Linked DNA regions of Sus scrofa. The protein of the gene in region 2 purifies or fractionates together with the protein of the main gene of each other region. This does not show direct contact. Links are inferred from orthologs where the notes say so. Each region holds a gene or a part of one and is shown on either strand. Other genes may lie near its edges.

Evidence for each region.
Region 1: the proteins of IFT57 (region 2) and IFT27 purify together in Homo sapiens (co-immunoprecipitation; 3 studies listed by BioGRID and IntAct, with this or other methods). This does not show direct contact. The link is inferred for Sus scrofa from reciprocal best matches to the Homo sapiens genes IFT57 and IFT27.
Region 3: the proteins of IFT57 (region 2) and TRAF3IP1 purify together in Homo sapiens (affinity purification with mass spectrometry; 3 studies listed by BioGRID and IntAct, counting the BioPlex papers as one, with this or other methods). This does not show direct contact. The link is inferred for Sus scrofa from reciprocal best matches to the Homo sapiens genes IFT57 and TRAF3IP1.
Region 4: the proteins of IFT57 (region 2) and IFT74 purify together in Homo sapiens (affinity purification with mass spectrometry; 3 studies listed by BioGRID and IntAct, counting the BioPlex papers as one, with this or other methods). This does not show direct contact. The link is inferred for Sus scrofa from reciprocal best matches to the Homo sapiens genes IFT57 and IFT74.
Region 5: the proteins of IFT57 (region 2) and IFT80 purify together in Homo sapiens (affinity purification with mass spectrometry; 3 studies listed by BioGRID and IntAct, counting the BioPlex papers as one, with this or other methods). This does not show direct contact. The link is inferred for Sus scrofa from reciprocal best matches to the Homo sapiens genes IFT57 and IFT80.
Region 6: the proteins of IFT57 (region 2) and IFT46 purify together in Homo sapiens (affinity purification with mass spectrometry; 3 studies listed by BioGRID and IntAct, counting the BioPlex papers as one, with this or other methods). This does not show direct contact. The link is inferred for Sus scrofa from reciprocal best matches to the Homo sapiens genes IFT57 and IFT46.
Region 7: the proteins of IFT57 (region 2) and CLUAP1 purify together in Homo sapiens (affinity purification with mass spectrometry; 4 studies listed by BioGRID and IntAct, counting the BioPlex papers as one, with this or other methods). This does not show direct contact. The link is inferred for Sus scrofa from reciprocal best matches to the Homo sapiens genes IFT57 and CLUAP1.

The regions. Positions count from the first base shown.
Region 1 is NC_010447.5:11,000,682-11,004,181, reverse strand, and holds part of IFT27 (intraflagellar transport protein 27 homolog), read right to left. Parts: intron 2,131-3,500; coding exon 2,051-2,130; intron 1,672-2,050; coding exon 1,612-1,671; intron 230-1,611; coding exon 170-229; intron 1-169. UniProt on the Homo sapiens protein: Small GTPase-like component of the intraflagellar transport (IFT) complex B that promotes the exit of the BBSome complex from cilia via its interaction with ARL6. Not involved in entry of the BBSome complex into cilium. Prevents aggregation of GTP-free ARL6.
Region 2 is NC_010455.5:151,329,552-151,333,051, reverse strand, and holds part of IFT57 (intraflagellar transport protein 57 homolog), read right to left. Parts: intron 3,247-3,500; coding exon 3,124-3,246; intron 1-3,123. UniProt on the Homo sapiens protein: Required for the formation of cilia. Plays an indirect role in sonic hedgehog signaling, cilia being required for all activity of the hedgehog pathway.
Region 3 is NC_010457.5:137,908,612-137,912,825, reverse strand, and holds the end of TRAF3IP1 (TRAF3-interacting protein 1), read right to left. Parts: intron 2,570-4,214; coding exon 2,404-2,569; 3' UTR 501-2,403; downstream 1-500.
Region 4 is NC_010443.5:196,171,080-196,175,025, forward strand, and holds the start of IFT74 (intraflagellar transport protein 74 homolog), read right to left. Parts: upstream 2,801-3,946; 5' UTR 2,685-2,800; exon of another isoform or gene 2,482-2,684; intron 1-2,481. UniProt on the Homo sapiens protein: Component of the intraflagellar transport (IFT) complex B: together with IFT81, forms a tubulin-binding module that specifically mediates transport of tubulin within the cilium. Binds beta-tubulin via its basic region. Required for ciliogenesis.
Region 5 is NC_010455.5:100,075,349-100,079,393, forward strand, and holds the start of IFT80 (intraflagellar transport protein 80 homolog), read right to left. Parts: upstream 2,801-4,045; 5' UTR 2,395-2,800; intron 1-2,394.
Region 6 is NC_010451.4:45,848,419-45,851,918, forward strand, and holds part of IFT46 (intraflagellar transport protein 46 homolog), read right to left. Parts: intron 2,280-3,500; coding exon 2,151-2,279; intron 1,256-2,150; coding exon 1,134-1,255; intron 763-1,133; coding exon 696-762; intron 1-695. UniProt on the Homo sapiens protein: Forms part of a complex involved in intraflagellar transport (IFT), the bi-directional movement of particles required for the assembly, maintenance and functioning of primary cilia. May play a role in chondrocyte maturation and skeletogenesis.
Region 7 is NC_010445.4:38,732,886-38,736,385, forward strand, and holds part of CLUAP1 (clusterin-associated protein 1), read right to left. Parts: intron 1,668-3,500; coding exon 1,526-1,667; intron 1-1,525. UniProt on the Homo sapiens protein: Required for cilia biogenesis. Appears to function within the multiple intraflagellar transport complex B (IFT-B). Key regulator of hedgehog signaling.

The DNA.
Region 1 (3,500 bases), on a different chromosome or scaffold from region 2:
GCCTCAGAGCTGGGGGGAGGGGTCAATCACGAATGACGTGCTTGAGCCGTGCCCACCTGCCAAGGTGACACACGTGGCCTGTAGGGCAGTGAAATTTCTACAAGAGCATGGTAAGGGGCAAAGCTTGGGAGGGAGGTGGTGGTTGGGAAAAAGACTGAATGCTACTTGCCAATTTATCCAGCATTTCCGAAAACAGCTCCTTGCCGGCCGAGTCAAGAATGAAGAGTTCCTGGAATCAGAAAGGCCGGTCCCAAGAAAGTCTACTCGTAGGGAAAGCCCAGGCTGCAAGTCCCCGGAAGGTCTCTCTGCTCACCTGCATGGCAATACACGCATGCGCACATGGACGTGCGTGCATCTCTGGCCCCAGGCATGAGGAAGATGATGGGGAAAGGCACAAGTTCAAGTACAGCCATTTCCCACACCAACTGGCTCTTTCCGGCCGCCGTCTTACCTCTCCTAACCCCGAGTGCAAAAATACCAGGAACAAGCTGACTCCCCACCTGGCAGAACAGAATGCTAAACAGGCTGACAAGTGCTCCGGTTTCCAGAAGGTCATCCTGCACTTTGTTAACCAAATTGATTTTCAAATCTTAAAACAATCCTTGTTAAAGGAGGTCACCAAGGAGGCCTGGGGACAGCATTTAAAGTAGGACAGCCTGGCATCGTTCTGGACGGCCGAGGTGTGCTTCTGATGGAGGGTGCAGGGGGGCCCTTCCCGCCTGAGTCCCAGCCTTTGCCCGCCCAGGTGAGAGCCCCTCCCCAGTGCTGCCCTTCGGGGAAGTCCCCCCGCATTTCCCCGCTGAAGTTTCTCCAGGAAATGTGTGTCTCTCCGACGCCAGTACAGGCTGTGTGGATGTCAGTGCCACCCTCTGACATGCATATTGGTTACCTGTGCATTCGCCTCATCACTTCTCACCAGACCCGGGGTACTCAGAAATTGTTTTTTGCTCATGGACGTCTTTAAGAATCTTGCGATTCTTTTTTTTTTCTTTCTTTCTTTTTTTTTTTTTTTTTTTTTTTTTTGCTTTTTAGGGCTGCACCTGCAGCATATGGAAGTTTCCAGGCTAGGGGTCAAATCGGAGCTACAGCTGCCAGCCTAAGCCACAGCCATAGCAACGCCAGATCTGAGCTGCATCTGCGACCTATACCACAGACACAGCAACACGGGACCCTTAACCCACTGAGCAAGGCCAGGGATTGAACCTGCATCCTCATGGATACTAGTTGGGTTCATAAATCACTGAGCCACAGCGGGAACTCCTGAATCTCGACATTCTTAAAGCTTGTCTCCCTGAAAGCACGTGCAAATGTAACAGCTTACAATTCTCTTTTGAGAATGGAGCCTTCCCCTAGAAGGGGACTTGGGAAATAAGAACCTTGGTATTTGGTAAGTTCTGGAAGGGCAAGGTCCAGGGCCCAGTCTTCCTCACTTCCTCTTCGGCCCTTCCCTAGAAAGCTTCCCGGTCCCTGCCTACCTCCTGTTCCCAAATGCAGACTGGTCTAGGCTGGGTCCTGGCACCGCCTCTCTCCTGGGGAGGAAGACAAGGACCACAGAGCCCGTGGCCTCATGGGGGCAGCACTGAGCTCCCTTGGGGGGAGGGCACCACTCACCACACTGTCTGCTGTGTCCGGGACTGGCACTGTCTTCACCACCAGATCCACCCCTGTTGTCTGCAGAGGAAGAAGGAGAACACGCACGTCAGGGGCCCCTGCGGGGCACATTGAGAGACAGGACGAACCCCGAACCCTGGGAGGCGTATCCCTGGCTCAAGTGTCTGTGTTCTGGACTCACTGCTGGTGCAAAAAATCAGAGATGACCTAGCCTCATCTGACCCCCCATCCCCACCCCAGACCCTCAAGCGAGCTGTCTGCAGTGGCCAGCCCACCCCCAGCTGGTATGCTCCATTCACCACCACCCCCAGCCTGTGGCTGTGGCCATGCAGCCAGACCCCTGAGGGCTTCTTAAGGAAATGTAGCAAGTCACTCCCTAAGGGTTATCTGCTCACCTGTCTTCCAGCCTCCCCCAGGCCTACACCCCACCACCACTCACCAGGGTGTAGTTCTTCTGGAATTGGGCTCCGTCGCTGCGGAAGATCTGTGCCAGGGCGGTTTTGCCCACAGCTGGGTCTCCTGTTGAGGTCAGAGTAGAAGAAAAAAAGCCACTTTCAACCCAATTAGACTTGAGACTCTCCCACACCAGTCTAGAAACCGAAAACTTCCAGGAATTATCAGGAGAAATGTGCTTGACTCTCACGGGAACTTGCTCTGGGTCGCTGGCAGAGCAATGGGTCCGTGAGATGGATCTTCCAAACCCACGAAGGCCAGTCTCATCCCTTCCAGGCTAATCCCTCCATCTACAAAAGCCGCTCCAGAAGGGAACAGAAGCTGGAGGAGGGCTTCTGAGCACTGGACATAAAACTGACTCTCTGCCACTGAAACACACCCTGTGTGGAAAAGCTGTCACTTTCAAGCTTGAACTTACTTGGAAATCTAGAAGGTAAGAGGTGCGATCAGGCCCAGACTCACAGGTTCACCTGCCGAACAGAACCACTTTGAGTTGAGTTTCCATGCTTAGAATCCTGCAGTTTTTTTTTTTTTTTTTGAGGGGGGTGACAGTTGGGTGGGTTTTTGCATTTATGAGAAACGTCATCTGCCGTATCTGCCACCTGAAACCCGTTTCCAAGTGACATAGTCCACCCTCCACCCCGTGGTGCCCATTAGGACTTCAGTGGACCCGTCTTCCCAGGGCCCCTCTTTCAAGTCCTTTTGCAATAATCATTGGTTCCTTGAAGCCTGTCTTTTACCTATGGGTCCGTCTCCTTGGCTTTCCTTTGTTAGGGTGAAGTTAGCCCCATAAATGGGCAAACCTTTGAAACTCAAGGTTTATGTCACGGTTCCAAGTCTGAGACCTGGACCTTTCACGGGACGGTCAGGGGCGATTTATTCCAGAGTTCCTCCTGGGTCCCCAAGGTTGCTGGGGGTCCTCCATGCGCATCCTGATTCCCCGGTGCCCTCCCCGCGTCCCCACTGATGGCTCTGCTTGGCCTCCTTTGATGCCACGCTGCTTTCCTTTGCAAGATCTCTTCCCTCTTGAGAGTCTTACATGCATTCGCCCTCTGTCACTCGGCACCCGGCAGGACACCTGGCTTCTCATTTCTCACCCCCTTGATCTGCAGCAAAGTCACCAGCGTGCTCGCCTCCTTCCGACTTGCGTCCTTCACCTTCCTCCCCCTTTTAACAGGCGGCTTCAATGTGCCTCTTCACTGGACTTCTTGAGAGCCTGCTGCTCTGTTCACTTTTCAGGGTTGACTTTTCTCACCTATAATTTTCTCTTGTGAGATAATTATTTGACTATGCGTGGCATTTCATTCTGTGTTAACTCCTCCGGCTCTGAGTGAGCTGCTCAGATCTTGCTTTTCTAGCTGCCATCACTTCTTAGAGGGAAACCATGGACCCATTCGTACCATCTCATTCGCTCCTTCCCAGCCCGCCCTGCTCCC
Region 2 (3,500 bases):
TCTTTGAGAACCAGCAACAGTAAGAAGTAGTGCCAGAAACAAGGATAAGCTAGCCTCCCAATAAAAACCTGATTACATTATAGAGAATATACAAAATAAAATATTGGTGTATGACAGGGTCTCATCAAGCATACAGACAATAATATGCAAAAAGAACAGAAAAGGAGTTTTACTTTTTTTTGGTAAGACCCTTCTAGGAAGTATACAAGGAATACACTGAATTTGTGAGGGAAAAAAGCATAGAAACATTTGCTACAGTGCCAAATAAATATGGGGTTTTTTAATTTCTTTTTTTTTGGGGGGGGAGCTTTTAATTTCTAATACAAGGTCATTTTAAATAAATTTTTGACTAATACAAGGTCATTTTAAATAAATTTTAAATAATAGAAGCTCTGTATTACTCATCTCCCACATCTCTATATACCTAAAAATTAATGTAACAGGATTAGTAGAACACATTGATCTGAAAATAATTCCTCCCCCCAAAATATAAAATTGAAATCCTAAAAGGTCTTAAATAGCCTGTGGTAAGTGAAAAGTTATTGTTTTTTTCCAAAAGTAAAAGAGAGGATTTGGTTTTGGTGGAGTTAGGAGTTGAGGAAGGATAGGATCTACATTCTGATGCTGCAGTCAACCAACCACTCCTGATTAAGGAGGATAATGAGTCCGTGAGAAACTGCATATATAACCAGATTACTTTATTTCTGAGACATGAAAAACATTTCTCTATTCATTAGTCCCTTATTTTCTCAAATCAATGAATAATTTTATTTCTCTTAAGTAAGCTGAATAAAGAATTGACCCTAAAGCTGTATTTCCCTTTTGCGAGAGCTGAAATACTTAGGAGAAAGAAGAGTTTATGAATACTGGACACAAAGACCAAATGATCTGGAGAAGAATTCTGAAAAAGTAATCAAATATGACTTTAGGTCAGCATGCTTTACTGCAAAAATCTAAAATCAAAATGATATTCACATATTCTTAAAAAAAATACTAAAAAATCCCCCACAAAACTCTGACATTTTGGAATGTTGCTTGTAACACAGATTGTATAGTTAATTTAACACAGTATATCTCCATAAGATCAAGGTAATGAACAGCATGGGACTAAGAGTCCAACTTCCTTTTTTTTTTTTTTTTTTTTTTCTTTTTTGGTCGCCCCATGGCATATGGAGTTCCCAGGCCAGGGTTCAGATCTGAGCTACAGCTGCAACTTATGATGCAACTGTAGCAACGCTGGATCCTTTAACCCACTGTGCTAGGCTGGGGATTGCACCTGTGTCCTGAGCTGCAGTGATGCCCCCATTCAGTTGCACCACAGCAGGAACTCTGAGAATCCAACTGTGAACTAGTTAAATCTTCTCCAAATCAGGAGAACATTGATTCTTTAAGAATCGAGGATTTTTTTTCTTTCATGTTTTGGCATATGGAAAAATCCAGGCTAGAGGTTGAATTGGAGCTGCAGTTGCAGGTCTACACCACAGCCACAGCAACACCAGATCCCAGCTGCATCTGCAACCTAAGCCGTAGCTTGTGGCAATGCTGGACCCTTAACTCATTGAGCTAGACCAGGGATTGAACCTGCATTCTCACAGAGACACCGTCAGGTCCTTAACCCACTGAGCCACAACAGGAACTCCAAGAATTTAAGATTTTGATTACTGCAATACTGGTTTGTAAACTGTACAGATTAGCAGTTACATTTATATTCTTTCTTTATTCAGTTACTTCTATTATGTGGAATCAATGACCATTCTTAAAAAAACACTCTCGTGATCCTATTCGGTTTTAAATAAGATGTTTAATTTCAAGAGTTTACTTACCCTGAAAGTAAACAAGGTAAACTTACTTCCTTTTGGGACTAAGATGTTCTTAAAAGTTCCCAATTATACAATTATTTTAACATGTCATTCTAACTAGAGTCACAATAATAATGCATTTTAATTTTATGAAGAGAATTTGTTCCAACAAAACTAAAGAATCAGAAATTACATTTTCACAAAAATTAGTTTTGCAAATTATGACTTCCAGCAGAGATCAAATCAGTAAAGAAATTCTTATTTATAGGTACTTACATATAAGAGATATATAAGCAAAGAATTTACTCCCAATGTAGTCAAAATATCTGTATTCCAAGTACATGGTAAGCAGGCTGAGGGTCTGCCCACTTACTCTAGACACTGTTCCACAGCTGTTCACAGTCTAATAAGAACTCCGCTGTCCTTATCCTACTTTAGGACTGTCCTACGAGTCTTGGCGACCTTATACCTTCTCTAGGATACAATTCTACAGGCCCAAATCCAGATAATCTATGAATTAGCTTCCAAGGCATTGAAAACAGCAATCTTTGTAGGGCTTCTTCTACTTTGGAGGCAGATGCACAACCACATTTGCAGAGTGACAAGCTGCCCTAGAATCTTTTCCATAATTCTGGGGCTTGTCTCCAGCCTCCGAGGATGAAAATCCTTTAGCTTTTTTACTTAGATGTCTCTCGAGCCCACTTTGTAGAGAGTATCATAGTACTAATGAGAGTAGCATTGTCTAGTCACCCGTTAGCTTGTCCTGAAGTTCTTACTCATAAGTTACAGGTGAAAAGGAAGTGGGAACTTGGTTAAATGGGCCAGTTCCCCCATCCTAACCCCCAAATCTTTATTACATAGGATTTTTTGATAACTTTCTTAATATTTAACTTATAACCATGTGTACTGAATAGACTATGTAAGGCAACGTCCAGGATGTCTTCTCTTTTGCCATCTAGCAGAGTTCTAAACCATGTCCTGACTCAACTCAGTTAATATACAGTCACAGATACTCAGTTTCATCCACTATTCACCTAAACAAAATATGATGCCAGCGAAATTTATAAAAATGCATTGAGAAAATATGCCTTAATCTCAGGGAAACATTATGTATTCCAAATCATTTTAAAGATCTATCCCTTGCTTTGTGGACCATATTACATTATTTAGTTATTCAACAACAATTCATTAAATCTCTATTAAAACAAGACACTAGAAATGGAATTCCTTCTTAAATAAGTAGTTTGTACAATTAGGAATACCCTTGACCTTGAAAATGCTTTATATATATCTCTTTGAACAAAATGTGTTCTCTCTTCCATACCTTGTTGTCAGTCCTGATCGTGACTTTCAGTTGTGGTAGCACACGTTCCACTTCTAGACTCCATTCCGCAGCATCTGTTGTGGATTCTAAAATATCTTCTTGTTTGGCAGACTCGTTCATATCCTAAGAAAGGAAAGATATCACAGGATTCAGAGTTTATAAAAAGAAATGGTAAAATTTTGAGGCATTTTAGCAGCACTGCACAATTTATATCAAGCAATGTAGTGTTAAAATTATAGTGGCAGAAGAAATCCTTTTCTGTCCTCCTATCCACGGTGAAAGAAAATAATGCATTAACCTGGTAGAATAGCAAAATAAGTATATTTTTTAAAAGAAGCAAATATATGATTTAATTATTTTTACAAAGACCAATGGTT
Region 3 (4,214 bases), on a different chromosome or scaffold from region 2:
TCTGTGCAGAAACCCCTCCTCCACGCTGCGCTCTGTGCGCCCTCGTCCTGAACCCGACGCCTGTGGGAGCTCCAGCAAACCGGTCGTCCTGAGCCTGCGACCGTGACACAAGCTGCCCACTCCTCTCGCCCCTGAGCCATGACGCTGAGCGGGTCAACAGAAGGTACACGTCGTCAGCAGGGAGAGAGGCCCGGGAACCCTTCGGGGCGCTTGTCACTCGACAGATTCCCGACAACCCCCCGCCACCCTGCACTTAGCGTCACGAAAGAACAGCGTCCCGCCTTGTAGGTTCCAGCCACTCCTCTTTTTAAGTTGCTTACTGGAAAGAAAAGTCTGTACGAATACTAAAGCAGAAAGCTTGAATTTTAGTTTTAAACTACTTTTTTCAAAAGTTGACACATTTCCTTTAAATATAAATTAGTATCAGCTCACCCTTTAAGTCAAAATTTCTGATGTATGAATCCAGTACTTTCTGAAAACTTACAGACCAGAGGAAAACATGTGATAATCCCATTGGTGTATTTTATCAAAACAATAAATAACATCGGAATTTAATTCATTTTTGAAAAGATACAGTAATACCTTCATGCAGAATCTTTCTAAAACTTCATGAGCGATCTTAAAGTTTCTGATAAATGCTTATCTGCCCTAAGGAACTTCCATTTATACAGAAAAGTGCTGTCACAATATGAATGAAAAGATACAGTTCCCTGAACTTGCTTCAGTGAAAAACAAACCGCACACACTTTAACATTTAAACAATCCAAACGCTTATAAATGCTTTTTCCAGGTGTGAACCGAACTTGCAACCCATGCACTTATAGAAAAATAGGTGATTATTTGTAATGATTTATGTATAAAAGAAAAATAAATTTTATGATACAATTTGATCAACTACTTCATACAAAATTTTACTCGCATACAAGGTCTGCACTCTTTTGCCACAAAAACTCTACTCTTCTGTACAGACTGAGAAAAGGCAGACAGCTTCACCTGGGGCAAGACAGGGCCCACGTGGGGTTGCGGCCGCGTCGCAGGGACCGAGGACGGACACGCGAGGGAAGGCCGGGAGCGGACGCGCCTCCCCTCCCCCAACGACAGGTGTCGGGCCATCTGATCCAACAGAATCCCAGGCGCCGTGCAGAGCGGGGAAAGGACCGGTGTTTCAAGATGCCAGATCTTAATAAGCTGATCTTGAACTCAGCTCAGAAAATCACACGACCTCCCTGTAACAGGTCCAGCTTGGAAATTACCCTAAGAAAACCTTACCTGTGCCCTTTGTGCTGACCTTTTAAAGAAACAAAGCTTCCTCAGGCAATTCCTTGGCTTGCGCGGTACACGCGGTATCTAGAGGCAAAGGGTCAGGTCCCAGACCTGAGGACCCCTGTCTCCAGGCAGGGGAGTCTTCACCCGCAAACCTCAGGCCTTAGCATTTACAACAGCACATGTGGTGAAAACTACACGTAAACGATGCTTTAAAAAAAAACCTTCTGCTTTTAAAAACAATTTAAAAAATGGTAACATCAACACCTTCAGTAAACCCGCCCCCGCTACAATCTTCCTTTTGCAGTTTCCCCCAAGCTCCCGGCCTCTCGGGGCACAGGTGTGCGCCTGTGGGAAGGAACAGGTGGCGAGCAGCCCCCCATCTGCAGGGCCGAGGACTCCCTCCAGCTATGCTGGGAGGTGCGTGGGGGAGGCCAGGGTAAATGCTGGGGAGAGTGAGGCTACGGCCTGTGACGAGCTCCCGTGCAGACGACAGCCGTGAAAGCCACTCCGAGGGCTCCCTGCCAAGTGTGTGAACTGCCAGGGCTGGAAATACAAGCCAGAGCGAGCAGAGACCCAGAGGAAAATTACACGAAGCAGCGCATGCAGCTCCCAAGAGGCTGAAAACAGAAGGCCACAGGCACCTTCTAAGGACGTGAGCGGAACCGAAGCCTTTCCAAGTGGAAATGAGCTGAAAATGCAACGGGTTCCTCTTCGGGCCTCCCTGGCAAGTGCTCGTCAGGAGGTGCAGCCTCCTTCGCTCAGCAGAGGAGCCCTCCCTGGGCTGAGTCCAAGGTCAAGGTCTCCTACGCCCTGGGCTTCCCGCCAGAGGACCCGGCACAGAACCGAACAGAGCAGCCTGCCGCAGAAATACCAGGACAGGCCCGTAAAGACACTTCTCGCACGGGCGCTTTGCAGAGCTCTTTATAACTGGCAAGCACGCTAGCCAGAGGAAGGTGGGCAGGCACGGTCTTCTCAGACACGGAATAAGCTGGGCTGCAGGCGCGGAAAGTCAGCGGGCTAACAGCGAACCCCGCTCCCTGCCTCCAACCCGAAACCTCAGGGGAAACGCCGTCCTATCTTCTCCGCTTTACTCGCACACCGAGGACAGCGACGTTCAGTCCTCGGCGTCGTGTGCCTTCACCGTCGGGAACTCAAGTTGATGCTGTGCACCATTTTCCGGATTTTCTCTTCGTTCCTCAGGATGCTGGCCTTCACGGCGCGGATCTTGTCCTGCTGGTCTCTGACCAGCTGCTCCAGCTCGGCCAGCTCCGCCTTCAAGGGCTCCACGGCGCAGTCCGTGATGCTGGGGAAGACAAAGCCAGGGGCTCGTGAGCGTCTTGCTCGCTTTGGGTTTTTGCTCCCTGACCAAAACAGTGAAAGACAGCGACAACACGGCACCCCAAGAAAAAGGGTAAAAACCAAACCCTTCTTGGAGAACGACATAAAGGGAGGAGAACTGCACGCCTGGGAGGAATCTTTTTCTTACGTGCATGCACACACCACAACCAAAAGCAAAGTCGAACATGGACTTTACACAAAGGAGGCTTATGTTTCTTAAAGGAATGGGCTCGAATTCCTGAAGGCGCATATGCTGCAGAGGCCTGAGGACGGCAGGGAGCTGAGCCCGGGGCCCGCAACACCCCGAGCCGACAGCCCACGGGCCCTCACCTCCCGGAGAGGCGCTCCAGCTTCAAGGGCTTCCTGCGGCGGCCCCTCTGCCTCGCTTGTTCAAGACAAGTCAGGAGGCCTTTGAGTTCCTGGATTAAATGCTAGGAAACGTCTAGAATGTACCCGAGAAAGCTGAAGTCAAAAATAACCTCTCCCGTTAGGTTTTCATATGTATTCTTCTTTTTCTTTTTACAGCCGCACCTGCAGCATATGGAGGTTCCTGGGCCAGGAGTCAAATCGGAGCTGCAGCTGCTGGCCGGCACCACAGCCGCATTCGTGACCTAGACCACAGCTCACGGTAACACTGGATCCCTAACCCAATGAACGAGGCCAGGCTCTAACCCACATCCTCACGGAGGCTGTGTCAGGTTCTTATCCCACTCAGCCACAATGGGAACTCCTATTTCCATTAAAAAAAAATTTTTTTTTATGGTCACACCCAATGGCCTATGGAAATTCCCGAGCTGGGGAATGAATCTGAGCCACACGTGTGGCAATACCAGATCCTTTAACCCACTTCGCCAGGCCATGGATCAAACCCCCACCTCGCAGCAACCTGAGCCTCCAGCTGCTACAGCTGAGTTCTTAACCCGCTGGGCCACAGCGGGAAAACCCACCTGAGGTTTTTAAAGCACATAAATACAAAATAAAATATAACCAAAAACAGTGACAGTTTTCAACCATCCTACATAAAGCAAAATCAGGTTCTGTAAGGAAGCAAATGTCTGGGGAGATACTTTCTAATACCTTAAATCAAAATGTAAGAAGTGCCAACAGGAGTTCCCACTGGGGCTCAGCGGTAATGAACCCAACTAGTATCCATGAGGATTCAAGTTTGATCGCCGGCCTTGCTCGGTGGGTGAAGGATCCAGAGTGGCTGCAAGCTGTCATGTAGGTCGCAGGCACAGCTTGAATTCCGTGCTGCCGTGCTGTGGCGTCGGCTGGCAGCTTCAGCTCCGATTCGACCCCTAGCCTGGGAACTTCCATACGCTGTGGGTGTGGCCCTAAAAAAAAAGGCCCCCCCACCTGCGCCAAGGGCTGACGCGTTATCTCGTCAGAACAGGCACCAAAAAGTTCTCAGGGACCGCCTACTTCTGTCATGCCGCTAAATTTAAGGGACTTTTAAGAATAAGCAGACTAGTAACAGATAGCAGAGCTTCACTATAATTGAACTTTTAGTTACACGGGCTTACAGACAGATCCCCGAGCCAATTCAAGCGTTTTCTCAAAAAGAGAGTTAGCAGTTGACAGAGCTGCCTGCGGCCAGGTCCACTGATCAC
Region 4 (3,946 bases), on a different chromosome or scaffold from region 2:
TAGTAGTGGCTTATGAAAACAATTTAGCAGGCTATAACAAATATGTTTTAAATATGATATAAAATAGAAAATATGAGAGTTCATGGCACATAGAGTAAATATTTCATTTAATTTTCATTTCAGTTATATTTATATAAGTTTACACATATGCATATACTGGTCTATAATATAAAAGGTATGACGTGGCTCAGACCCCGAGTTGCTGTGGCTGGGGCACAGGCCAGCAGCTGTAGCTCTGATTCGACCCCTAGCCTGGGAACTTCCATACGCCATGGGTACAGCTATAAAAAGAAAAAAAAGAAAAAGAAAAAGAAAAAAAAAAAAAGATCTCTGGACCAAGGAATGCCAAGACATACAGATTGCAAAATAGAGAAACTAGTATGAGACTGAAAATGAAGATTTCAAAAGCAAACAGAGAAACCAGGAGTGTTTGTCACGGATGCCAAGAGAAGGCAGGAATGGTCAGCCAAGCCATTTTCTGCTGGAAATTCAAGTAAGATGAACACTGAAAAATCCATTGCAATCTCCATCAAAAACCATTAATGGGAGTTCCCTTTGTGGCTCAGTGGTAACAAACCAGACTAGTATCCATGAGGATGCAAGTTGGATCCCTGGCCTTGCTCAGTGGGTTAAAGATCCAGCATTGTTGTGACCTGTGGTGTAGGCTGAAGACGTGACTGGGATCTTGTGTTGCTGTGGCTGTGTGTAGGCTGGCAGCTGCAGCTCCAATTAGAACCCTAGCCTGGGAACGTCCATATGTCTCAGATGTGGCCCTAAAAAAGCAAAAAAAAAAATTTTGTCAAGATCAGTTTCAAGGACTTCATTTCTTCTCAACACTAAACTGTCTTTTGAACACCATCACCTAATTACCATCCTCGAACTCTTCTTCAAGCCTTATGGCAAAATCACAAACTGTTCTCTACATTCAACCTGGACAGCCTAACACTGTTAATGGAAATTCCACAACTGTACAGACTAGAGAACTGCAAAGTCATAGTCACCAAATTTTGCTGGACTCTCATCTCAGAAATTATTTTATTTACCTTTGATTAGCTACTCTGTTCTTGATGATTATGGTCCTTAATCACTTTTCTACTTAACCTCTGTTCCTACCACTCTCAGCAGATGACTCATTCCTGAAAAAATTAAGATGTGAAATCCACATCTGGAGTACATAAACTTACCTATATCCACCTTGCCCTCCAATCTCAACAGCCATTCCTTCTCTCATTCAAGATAAGTCTCTATTATGATTTCTTTTCTTCACTCCAACACCTTTGAGAGGTTAGCTTTCCTCTCCTTGCCCAACTTCTTCTCTCCCACTCCTGCCCCAGTCTCCTTTGGGGCATTATCCAGCTCATACATGTCTTTAAACCTACCCCTTCTTTCAATTGGCTATCAAACTCCATTATTTCCTAACCTTAAAAACGAATTTCTAGATCCTGAAACCACTTTTAGTTCTGTTCCATATATCTTTTTCTAGGCAGCCAAATTCTAAAAATTAGCTTATAGCTGTCATTCTCTACCTTTTCCATTTCCACTGTCTCCTGGATTCCTACTATGCCATTTAAATGTTCCCTGTCAATGCAGCTAGGGATGTAAATGCCACCTCTGTTACTGGTGTCCAGTCCTACATTAAATCATTTCCAGGACACTCTCCTCTTTTGTTTCTCCTTTTTCACTTTCCTTCATTTTATTCTACATGCCCTTGTTAGCAGTATTTCTCAAGATACCATCCACAGTCTATTTTTCTTTTTCCTCTTTGATTTCTCATTGTGCCACCTCATCTATACTCAGAGTTTTAACAATAGGCTGATGAGGAGTTCCCTGGTGGCCTAGTGGGTTAAGGATACTACGTCGTCTCTAGTAACAAATATTCCACTAACTCCAAGGTTAGTCATTCAAAAATTCACACAATCTCTGGGATTATTCACACAACCAGAGAGGTTCCAGAAAGATTAGGGATACTAATGTAGCTAGGACAGTTACCAGCCATATTCTCCCCTCTGGAAGTGTTTCCTCATTTATAAAGCGTGACAGTGAGCTCTATCTTGCACGGTCATTTTGACGACTCCAGGTACGTCATACAAAATATCTGGCTCCTAATTACTTTTATGATCATGATCCTCCCAACTGGCCATTTTAACATATATGAAGCGGAAAGTTGCAAAGTCCCTTCCACCATGACCAACAGACAGAAATCTATTTACTCTCAGTAAAATCCCTCAGCTCACAGTGAATTTTCTCTTCGAGGCGCCGGAATCCCTCCCTCTGGTCACCCCCTTGGCAGACCCCTCCTCAGGAGACTGCTGAAGAGGTCTCCTCACGCTCTGCCATACTAGAAATGGGACTGCCTTGGCCCGGAGATAGGTCCGAGGAGAACAGCTAAGAGCCAAATGTATTTTGTTTGGAGAGTATCAGCATCTTCAAAGATAACCCGTAAAGGAAGCAAGGAGGAGAGCTGGAATCGGGATTTCTCACCTCCGCCGAGGCTGAGAGGCGCGGAAGGAAGGGGGTCGCCCCGTTGAAGGGCGCGGAAGGCGGGGAATCGCACCGCTGAGGGTGCAGAAGTAAGGGGGTCGCACTGCCCTGGGGCACTCGAAGTTCTTTCCGATGCCTCCACCACCGCGGAGCCCACCAGTCGGGCCGCGAACCTCTTCGCTCACTCGAGATGTTCCTCTCACCCGTGAACAGCTTTCCTCTGCTCTCAAGGCCTCACTACAAGCTGCCTGCCGCCGGCCGCCGCGTATCCTGGCAACGGATACTCTTCCAGACTGGCCAGTCCTCCAACTCAGCGAAGCAAGCGAGACTGAAATGCTCTCGCGAGATTTTAGGACTAACGTTTCCCATATAGTTCAGCACTCTTGCAGAATAAAGGGAAAACTGCGAATTGGCTAGGAAGGAAATTTTTTATTTGAAAATCTTGGTTTTCTTTATAATCAGAGTAAGCTTTCTGATTGTGAGCCTGACTTGAACTCATTCCTAGCGAGTTTGACTATATCGCTGTATAGCCTCACTTGTAATACGCCAGAGTTTTTAGTAAGAATTACTTGGAAGTTATTCCGTGGTAGGCAGCATTGTACAGTCTTTCTACTTCTAATTGGTGGTAGTTTTTCTTCCCGTTAGGACTGCACATCATACTGATACAACATTAAGTATGGATGAGATTCTGGTACCGCACAGTCCCTAATTTCATTGAAAGCTTTATGTCTTTAGGCTTCCTTTCAGGCTTCTTTTGATCTAGGTTTGTGAGAAAGGCTAAATTAAATGCAAAGTGGTCTTAGAAGAATTATTTTTTAAAAATATATTGTGGGAGTTCCCATTGTGGCTCAGCGGAAACAAATCCGACTAGGAACCACGAGGTTTCAGGTTCCATCCCTGGCGTCGCTCAGTGGGTTAAGGATCCAATGTTGCCCTGAGCTGTGGTGTAGGTTGCAGATGCGCTTGGATCCCACGTTGCTGTGGCTCTGGTGTAGGCCAGCGGCTACAGCTCTGATTAGACCCTAGCCTGGGAACCTCCATGTGCCAGGGTGCGGTCCTAGAAAAGAAAAAAAAAAAATATATATATATATATATATGTATATATTGTAACTACTTCATCTTAAATCTCACCTCTCTAGTAAAGAAGTAACTTGCAGTTTATTTTCTTCCAGTCTTACTATAATAGCTTAAATGTGATTGGAGTTCTAATCATAACATACATACATATTGGACTATTTTTTTTTTTTTCTTTTTACCACCGTAGACTCTGGCCTAAGAAGTCACCAGGCTAAGGATCAAACATAATTAGTTGCAGCTGGGGCCAATGCCACAGCCACAATACTGGATCTGAGCCACACCTGTAACCTATGCCTCAGCTTGCTGCAACACTGACTCTTAACCCACTGAGAGACACCAGGTAAGGAACCTGCATCCTCATGGTCACTATGTTGGGTTCTTAACTCAC
Region 5 (4,045 bases), about 51 Mb from region 2:
TTTAAACTCATTCTTATTTCTCCCTATAGGGTACAATTTTTTGAACACAAAAAAGTAAGGATTCTCTTCTTTGCCTTAAATTATAGATAATGGTTTTTAGCAGATGATTTGGGACCAGAAAGATGAGACTTGGTTATACCTTCCAAGACTGTAACCTAGTCCCTCCCAATTGGACCAGCTTCTTTTTATCCAAAGTACTGGCAGAGATCAATCAAGTCTTTATTTCTTATTGACTCTATTCTCTTCTCAAATCACTTCTTCACTTATTCTGAGTGTCCTACTGTCACTCCATATTTAAGCTCCACTATAACTTTGCTATGAATGTCTTTCCTACATTACAGACACTAGTCTAAACTTGTTTAAAAATATTCATTCTGAGTGGAGCACGGTTAGATTCAACTAAATCTAAAGCTATTGGTCACTTTATTGGTTTATTGAAATTACATTTCTTACTCATTAGTCACTAAGACCTATCATTACTTATAGCAATAACAAAGGCAGCAAGACTAGGATTTATTTGTGACATCTTTCTTCTTATCCCCTCATCACTAATCCAGGGATTCATAAAGAATAGATAGAATCTGACTGACTTTTAGTCTGGCTCAGACTCTTAACCATTAAAAGCTACAAAAGCTACAGATTTTCCCCTGCAAATATATTCAGATTTTTTTCCATTCCACTGCATAGGCACTTTTAACTTCCCACACGGAAGTAAGTACAATTCCATGTACGGTAATAATCTCAGCCATGCCTGATCTCAGTTTCTTAACACATTTCACATAAATAGTTAATTTTTTTTATTAAGTCATTCCTAAGCTCAAATTTTTTCTAATATTCTAAAAATGTATCATATGTAACATCCTTGATCTGGCTTGAAGACCCTTCGTAAGCTAACCTTCTTCTAACTTGACATACCCATTATTCATCCTTAGCACATACCCTGATAAAATCAATGGTAAAACACAGCAATATCAAATGAATATAGTGTGTGGGATAGACAATCATAAACAATTCTATGAGGTAGGTATTATATGCTGATTTTATAATAAATACTCTCAGAGGGACTGATAAATTGATAAATTGTCTAAGTATGTAGACAAAAAAACATGAGATTTGGGATTCTGTTATCTCTTACATCTTTCTACTCCACTGTGCTGTCTCCCAAATACACTACCCAATTTGGTCTAGTCTTTGCATTTCTCTTGGTTAATATCTCTCCAACTCAGGGTTAGTTATGTTTTACAGACTTCAAAAATCCAAAAGATTCCAGATGCTTTCAAAGAGAATTACTACATTTTCCTCGCACACCTACGGGTCAAAATTTTTTTTCATTGAGTTTACTGTCTGTAGTTTGTCCTTCGAAAACAATTTTTTTCAACTTCAAATATAAAGGTATATTACAATAAGGAGTCAATACTTACTCAAACCACACCAGTCTCCCCTCTTCAACAAATTCTTACACTTGTGGGCAGTGGCCTCTACATGTCTTCTTGGGAATCACTGAACCTGAATATGCTCCTCAGGGCAAGGGTCATACATACTTACTTAGAATGACAATTTAAATTCATGCATAAAGAGGATTTATTGGGGGTTTAGTATGTCAGGCACCAAGTATTAAAAAGCTAAAAGGGGGAATAAAAGAGTTCCCAGTTCTCCATGTCAAGTACTTTAGAGCTGCTGAACAAATGCTTATTGGAGGTAGTCAAATCAACCAGTGGTTAACATTTGGGGGATTAGGATCGTGTTTGAGAATTTGATAAAAGTTCTGGGAAACTCCTCAGAAAAATTCACAAGCAGACATAATTCTGTACACAGCTAAAGGGGCAAGGGGTTGGAGATGGAGAGTGGAGGAGAGGTGGTATGAACAATCGCCTACCACCAGATCCATAAACTCCAGGTTAAAAACTCACTAACAAAACTAAATTCTCTGGGAACAGAAATACTACCTTGATAATCTTTCTTATGCCTGACACAGTGCAACGTGTACAAAGCTACTTAATATTTGCTGATCGATAATTTTTTCATAAACATATGATACGAGCAAATCGTTTCTTCTATTACGGAGTCTTTCAGCCAAATAATTTTAAAAGCCAGAAACCCTCTTTCGCTAGTGACGCTAACGACCTAATACTAATAACTCGAAATCCTTATTTTGCTATTTACTACAAGATCATTCACCAATCGAGGTCTTCTCCTTGTTGTCCCCCTACTCTCTCCAAAGACTTAGGGCTTCCTCTGCATCCCAAGAGCTACGTCCAGAGCCCCAGTGCTCCAGGGAGATGGAAAATAACTGATGCTCCAAGCTGCAAACACCCTAAAAGCAGGAAAAGTGGGTCCAGTAATGGCCACAACCTCTAAACTCTTTCCTCACTTCGTCCAGAGATAGAGATTTACCTTAAGTAAGTTCCAGGAAAGCAGTGGCGATCGCTCTCACAGGGGTGCTACCAGTTACCAAGAAGCCTCGGATCTCTTCGTCACCATAGCGACTTCTGAGAGCAGAGCGAACTCCCTCTTCCCGCGATACTTCCCGCCGCGTCACCCGAGCGGGCCCGAGACCCCGCCCCTAGCGAGCCCGCCCTCTTGTTAAGGAGCGTTATTGGGCTTCTGTGCCCGTTGTTTAGCTGTGGGCGGGGTCCCATTCTGTTTTCTTCCTCTTATTCAAAACTCCCAAAACTTTTTAAAAATATATTTTATATGAATGTTGTTGTCCATAGGCCCAAGGAAAACATTGCTTCGCTTTTCTTTTTCACTTAGAAATGTCCTCTGCCGCCAGGGTCCCGCCAGCATTTCGCGCATGCGTGTAAACGACATGAAGATGGCGACCATAATCGCCGCAGTTTTTTCAAATTAGTGGGTCCCAGAAAGCATTGCGCGCATTTGTAACGAATTTCCGTTCGAGTTTGTATTTTAGGCGCCATTTTCGAGTGAAGGACCCGGAGCCGAAACACCAGTAGACGCGGGGGGGTTATACAACCGTTTCCAGCCTTGGTCTGAGTGGACTGTCCCGCAGGTAAAGTACCTCTTTTCCTGGTAGAGTTGTCACACTCTTACTTCCTGCCCCGTCTGCCGGCACCTGGGAAGAAAAGGCCTTGAGCTGGAGCGGCCGAAGTCTAGGCTGAGGCTGCCGCCGGGAGGTTTCTCTCGCTGTCACCCCTCCCCCCTCAGCCTCTCCTCAGCATTCGGGGCTCCCGCGCGCTTCTTCTGGGCGCCACTTCTTTGAGCTACTTGGGCGTCGCTCAGGGGACGCGAGGGATCGGGGCTTAAGCTTCGTGGACTTCTTCTCAGAAAACTTGGTCCCGATCGGACTGTAGGGTTTCCCCTTGCCCCGGCCCCCTGCCTCTCTCTCTCTTCTCCCAAGGGACTGATTACCCGATCTGAGCCCTTACTGGTGACCTTTCCTGGTTTATTGCCTAGCGGGAGTCTGCCGCGGACACCGGAGGTACAAACCCCTGCTGCCCCAAGGTGATTTGAACCGGAGCCGGCACTGCCGGCCTCCGATTTGAAAATCGCGGGGGTCGACCCCATCCACTGGTCCCTATCGGGCAGTCGTGAGGACACCTCAAAGCCCGCGGGCGGTCAAGGGCTCCTAGAGCTAAATGGCGAGGAGAGGATAGTGGGCGGCGAGCAGCCGGTTCTTCGCTGCTCTCGGAAGTTGAGAGCCCCTCAAGCCTAAAGTTAATACGAACTCTTCGCTCTCAAAGTGTGTGCGCTTGTATTCCTAGCCCCGGGAGCGTGGGCATGTCGGTAAACGCCAGTTTACTTCGTTTAGAAATTACGTTAGAATATTCTTATACCCTTACCTTCGTCGGGGGGATGGGAAGGGAACTTTAGAAAATAAAAAGAACTAAGCTTGATTCCCCAAGCACGTCTAAGTTTTCCCACTTGCTTTGGACTTAGGAAAACGGATCCCGCCTTCTTGGCACCTCGAGGGGTTTTGTGCCTTCTTTCTCGAGGACCCGCTGGCGTTGAGCAGGGTTTTTAAACGGGGCTTTCGGAAATAGATGGACGGAATTTTCCCCGGGTTGGGTGGGGTGGAGGCTGGGCC
Region 6 (3,500 bases), on a different chromosome or scaffold from region 2:
TTCCGCTGTGCCATGACAGGAACTCCACCAATTTCTTATTAAATGTATTCTGGGGCACTTTTTAAAAAACTTGGGGTCATTATAAATAAGACCATAGCTTCTTAGAAAAGTATATATACTTCTGTGGAGAAGGTGGAGTCTAAAGGAACAAGACAAGAGGTATGTATGTTCACCAAAAGGTATGTGTTAGAATGTTCACAGGCATGTTACAGTGCTATTACAGGGTAATTTTTAACAACCCCAAACTGGAAAGTACCCAAATGACTATCACAGAATGGATTAATTGTCATATATTCAAACAATGAAATAGCATACAGTGATGAGAATAAATGTACAATATGAATGAGTCTCCATATGGAGGAATAATATAGATAAGCAAATAAGACACAAAGGAATATGATGTTATATTTAGATAAAATACAAAACAGGCAAACCTAATCTGTGCTATTAGAAGTCAGGAGAATGGTTACACTGGGAGGTGGAAGCAGCAGGGGGCCTTCCAGGATGCCAGCAACGTTCTGGTTTTTTTTTTTAAATCTGTTCAGTTGGTGAAAATTAACTCTTATGTGTATGTTTCTGATTCCGTATTATACTTCGATTAAGAAGATAATGATAATAGTAATATGAAAAGAGAGGAACCACTGGGCCCTAAAATGAATGCCACATTTTCTTAGCTCCTACTACCTTCCACTCACCTTCCCCAAAAGTTCTTCAAACTCTGGAGACCATTCCTGCATCAGTGTGTCAATATCTGGCATAGGCCTAGAAGGAAAGAGGTAAGTATGAGCAAAAAACATGGACTGAGGATAGCAGAACCTCTGCATCAAGATATTCCAAGATGAAGGGAGGTCCTCAATCTGGCGCATTAGGATTCCAGGGGCATGTAGACTGGATGTGCCAAAGTTACCGAGGGCTTGGGTTTTGGAGAAGCTGGCTAAGTAATAATACCAGGTAAATGACAATCTTTACATCTGCAATCTTAGCCAGCAGTGGCTAGGATCCACAGGTCCTCAGGTTGACTAAATATGTCCCAAATATGTCCCAGACTTAAGGGCCCCTTCTCAGAAGCAATGGTTTCATAGGTGGTGAAGGTTACCATGGATTACTATGGGGAAGAATGTGCTATTTCGTACCTGGTGTAGTGCACAGTGGCAGGGGCCTTGGAACGGTGTAACTCAGAAATGCTCTCGATCCATGTGTCAATGGCTTTGGGATTCTTTTCTGCATCTTCCAGACTCTTGACTTTCATATGTTGCTGGAAAAGTAAAGGGAAAGCCTGGCTGATGGCGCTGAAGGGGCTCTCTTGTTTTTATAGAGTGGCTCATCATATGCTGCTATTTCATATTCAGGATAGCTGATGAAAAGGGAAGCCTGCCAGCCGCCAAATGAAGCTTATAGGAAAGGCTGAGAGTCTTCTGGAGCCAGAGGAAGGGAGTAGGTCAACAGGATAGGAGTGACTACAGTGCGATACCATTTCACACCTACTAGGGTTGCTAGAATGAAAAAGATGGACAATACCAAGTGCTGGTGAAGAGGTGCAGAAATTGAAACTCAAACTCATTGCTGGTGGGATTGTAAAATGATTTAGCCACTTGGGAAAACAGTTTGGAAGTTTCTCATAATATTACAGTTACCATATGGCCCAGCCATCCCAATCCTACCTATATTCCCCAGAGAAATAACAATGTATGTCCATGCAAAAACCTGTACATGTTCATATTAAGTATAGTTAATAGAAGTAGAAACATCTGATAAATGGGTAGACAAAATGTGGTATGTCCATAAAATGGAATTATTCAGCCGTAGAAAAGGAATGAAGTAGTGACCAGGGTCTAGCAGCAGGGGGATTAAGGAGTGACTACTAACAGGTATGGGGTTTCTTTTTGGAATGATGGAAATATTCCTAAATTAGACAGTGGTGGTGGCTGTACAACCCTGTGAATATGCTAAAAATCACTGATTTGTGTAATTTACAAGGATGAATTTCAGGGTAGGTAAATTATATCTCAATAAACTATTATTTAAAAAATAGGGCTGGCTGAAGCCATAGCCATCCCTTTCGACAGGCAGTAAGTCAATGGTACAAATACCAGAAAGTCCTCCAGTCTTGGTCCCCTTGAGCTGGGGCCTATACCAGGCTAGTATCTTACTGTGACGTTGTGCTGTTTGGAATTCTCTGTTAACCAAAGGGAGAGCACCGTAGGGTCTGACTGCTTTGTAGAAGGCTCGTCTAATACCAACAGGCCGAGGTTGTCAGGCTTTCCATCAGGACGTGGAACCTGGTTAGGAGAAAAGTAAGTAAGCAGAGGGGAAAAAAAGAGGGAGGGATATAAAAAGACACGCTTGGAGTTGCCGTCGTGGCTCAGTGGATAACGAATCCGACTAGGAACCATGAGGTTGTGGGTTCGATCCCTGGCCTCACTCAGTGGGTTAAGGACCTGGCCTTACTGTGAGCTGAGGTGTAGGTCACAGACACAGCTCAGATCTGGCGTTGCTGTGGCTCTGGCGTAAGCTGGCGGCTACAGCTCCAATTAGACCCCTAACTTGGGAACCTCCATATGCCGAGAGTGCAGCCCTGGAAAAAGACAAAAAAGACCAAAAAAATAATAATAAAATTAAAAAATAAAAAGGCACACTTATTGTTTCCAATAAGCCAAAGAGGAAGAACTCTTCCAGTTCATCATGATTATTAGAATTAAAAAGGATGCCTGGGAGTTCCTGTTGTGGCTCAGATACTAAGAACTGGACATAGTATCTGTGAGGATGCAGGTTTGATCCCTGGCCTCTCTCAGTGGGTTAAGGATCTGGCGTTGATCCCAAGTTGCTGTGGCTGTGATGTAGGCCAGCAGCTGCTGCTCTGATTCAACCTCTAACCCGGGAAGTTCCATATGCTGCAGGTCCAGCCCTAAAAAGGAGGAAAAAAAAAAAAAGAAAAAAAAGGCATGCCTGTATATCAAGCTGTACTAAAATACTACCTGGAAAAAAAACCATGGGAATTCCCTTGTGGCACAGTGGGTTAAAGATCTGGCTTGTTATTGCAATGGCTATCACTGCTATGGTGCTGGTTCCATCCCTGGCCTGGAACTTCCACATGCCCTGGGCATGGCCCAAAAAAGAAAAAGAAAAAAATACATTATCTATAGGGCTTCAAATATAAAACTGAAGTCATGGATAATTAGGAGCCATATAGATGACAAATTTTAACACATATGCTAATCAATTACTACCTAAAAACAACGAGTATAATTGGGAGTAGAAAGCAAAGTTAAGCAAAGTTAAGGACTCCAGTGAGCGAGTTCCCGTCGTGGCGCAGGGGAAACAAATCTGACTAGGAACCATGAGGTTGTGGGTTCGATTCCTGGCCTTACGCAGTGGGTTAAGGATCCGGCGTTGTCATGAGCTTGTGATGTAGGTTGCAGACCCGGCTCAGATCTGGTGTAGGCTGGCAGCTATAGCTCCAATTAGACCCTTAGCCTGCGAACCTCCATTTGCTGCAGGTG
Region 7 (3,500 bases), on a different chromosome or scaffold from region 2:
GGGGCAGCCAAAAAAAAGAAGAAAGAGGAATTCCTGTTGTGGCTCAGCAGGTGAAGAATCCGACTAGTATCCATGAGGATGCAGGTTCAATCCCTAGCATGCTCACTGGGTTAAGGATCTGGCGTTGCTGCAAGCTGCAGTGTCGTGGATGCAGCTCAGAATGGGCATTGCTGTGGCTGTGGTGTAGACCAGCAGCTGCAGCTCTGACCTGACCGCCTAGCCTGGGAACTTCCATATGCCGCAGGTGCTGCCATAAAGAGGAAAAAAAATAAAAGAAAGAGAGAGAGAATGGGAGAGGAAACTGGCTTTTTAAATTTTTTTGTCTTGTCTCTTTAGGGCCGCACCCTTGACATATGGAGGTTCCCAGGCTATGCGTCAAATCGGAGCTGTAAGGACACAGGTCAATCCCCGGATCTGACGTTGCCACAGCCAAGGCATAGTCCACAGGTGTAGGTGTGCCAGGTGTGGTGTAGGTGTGCCAGGTGTGGTATAGGTGTGCCAGCCTACACCACAGCCACAGCAACGCAGGATCCAAGCCACATCTGTGACCTACAACCACAGCTCATGTCCACACTGGATCCCTGACCCACTGAGCAAGGCCAGGGATCCAACCCACATCCTCACAGATACTAGTCAGATTTGTATCTGCTGTACCCCAATGGGAACTCCGACTGTCATCATTTCTGATGTATTATTTTTATTTTTATTTATTTTTTTGGCCATGCCTGTGGCATGTGGACGTTTCCAGGCCAGGGAATGAGCCCAAGCCATAGCAACAACCCAAGCCATGGCAGTGACAACACCCAGATCCTTAACCAACTGCTCCACAAGGGACCTTCCTGAAGCAAGTTTTTAGATCTGTCCTCAGCCATGTTACATAACTTGTGGGACTCAGTACAAAACAAAATGCGCTTAAATATTACTAAGAATTTCAAGGCGTTCCCGTCATGGCTCAGTGGTTAACAAACCCAGTTTATATCCATGAGGACGCAGGTTCGATCCCTGGCCTCGCTCAGTGGGTAAAGGATCCAGCAGTGCTGCTGTGAGCTATGGTGTAGGTCCCAGCTGCGGCCTGGATCCTGCGTGGCTGTGGCTGTGGTGTAGGCCAGCAGCTACAGCTCCGATTCGACCCCTAGCCTGGGAACCTCCATGTGTCATGGGTGCGGCCCTGAAAAGACAAAAAATGAAAAAAAGAATTTCCAGACAGGTGACAGGAACATCATGAAAGCAAGCCCAGGCCCTTCTAAGCCTGGAGTTGTGTGTGACTGCACAGGTGACAGGCCAGCCTGTCTTACTGTCCTAACTGACCAAACTCGGGTGACAACCTACTCTCAAAGATTTGACAACCATGGAGTCCAGACCACACAACCAGAAAAGCAAAAGGAATCACATGAGCCATCTTTCGCCTGATCAGGGAGAACAAGCAACACCTGTCCTTTCCCAGCGACACTTCCACACCGAGGCGTCAGCACGTACAAAAGGACACCTCGGAAGGGGCCGCCTGCACGCAAGGCCGAGCGCTCACCTCAAACCTCTCTTGCTCCATCCTGTGATGATCCTCCAGTTGCTGCTCCAGACAAGCCAGATTGCGGAACTTCTCGAGATAAATGGCATACTGCTTTTGCAGTTCTTCCTCGATCTTTTCATATTCATCCATAAAGGCTGGCCTGGAACAAAACGAAATAAAATGGAAAGGTTAATCAAGAGATAAATAAACAGCAGCTTGAAAATGGTACTCAGGAGCTCCGCTGCAGTGCAGCAAAAACAAATCCAACTACGAACCATGAGGTTGAGGGTTCAATCCCTGGCCTTGCTCAGTGGGTTAAGGATCAGGTGTTGCTGTGAGCTGTGGTGTAGGTTGAAGACGTAGTTTGGATCTGGCATGGCTGTGGCTGTGGCGTAGGCCAGCGGCTACAGCTCCAATTCGACCCCTAGCCTGGGAACCTCCATATGCCGCCAGTGCAGCCCTATAAAGACAAAAGACAAAAAAAAAAAAAAAAGGAAATTGGTATTCAGAGATTCAGATTTCATCCTGGTTTTCTTTGAAAGCCTTTAATTAGAGAAGATTTTTCACTCTTTTAACTGTTTAAAGATAATTTGCTCTTTTCTCTTCCCTCCCTACAAAATGAAGATGATTTTTTTTAATCAAATATTAAGGTATGCTCTTTGTAAAAACTAGAAGTAATCCTGAAAGTATGAAGAATAAAATAAAAATCACTCATAATCCTATCACTAGGTATTAGCATTTAATATCTGATATACATCCAGACTCTTCTATGCATAGATATATATACAGAAATGCACTTTTTAACAAAATTTTAAGTCTATTACCTTAAGTGAACCGCTGCAGTCTTTTCTCACTCAATACGGCAGATTTCAATAAGTAGTTAAAAAATAATAGTACATTATACACATGACTGAAAATAAAAAAATTAAATATATGCATTATCTTAGTTGGGTGAAATATTCTGTCTGGATTCCAAAAATTAATCATTCTTCTAAAATAGGAATCATATGTCACTACAAATTAAAGGTAAGTTTTTAAATATAAAAATTTTATAAAATCATAACATAAAAACTTGTTTCTTTCAATTGGCTTGCGAATTACTTTTTTCTCTTATTATTGACCTTTTTTGTCTTTTTACGGCTGCACCCACAGCATATGGAGGTTCCCAGGACAGGGGTCCAACTGGAGCTGTAGCCACTGGCCTACGCCACAGCCACAGCAACCCAGGATCTGAGCTGCATCTGCGACCTACACCAAAGCTCATGGCCAACGCGTGGCTTGAGCAAGGCCAGGGATCGAACCTGTGTCCTAGTGGATGCTAGTCAGATTCGTTTTCGCTGAGCCGTGACAGGAAGTTCTCTCATTATTGATCTTAAAGGGAAACCTCTGTCCTTTTAAAAATATAAACAGGAGTTCCCTGGTGACCTAGTAGGTTAAGGATCTGGCATTATCACTGCTGTGGCTCGGGTCTGCTCCCTGGCCCAGGAACTTCCGTATGTCATGAGGGTGGCAAAAAAAAAAAATCTTTAAATAAAAACATAAACATATAGAGAATAATTTATAATCTTTTGGACTAGAGGAAAACAGAAGTTTTTCTACTAAAAAGATTTGATGGAATTTTCTGTTGGCCTACCAGGTTAAGGACCCAGTCTTGTCACTGCTGTTGCTCAGACTGCTGTTGTGGCGTGGGTTTGATCCTGGCCCAGAAGTTCCGCATGCCATGGATATAGCCAAAAAAAAAAAAAAAAAAAAGCACTCGAAAGGCAGAATTTTTCATGAGCTAAATCTGATGGTTCTGATCCAGAGGCAGAAGGGGTATGGGCTTGCCATTGCTTTGGAAGAAGTCTCTTTATCTGGCTGGCCCATGGCATATGGAGTTCCAGGGCCAGGGATCAGATCTGAGCCACAGTTTTGACCTATGCCACAGCTGCAGCAATGCCAAATCCTTACCCCACTGTGCTGGGCTGCAGATGGAACCTGCAACCCAGCGCTC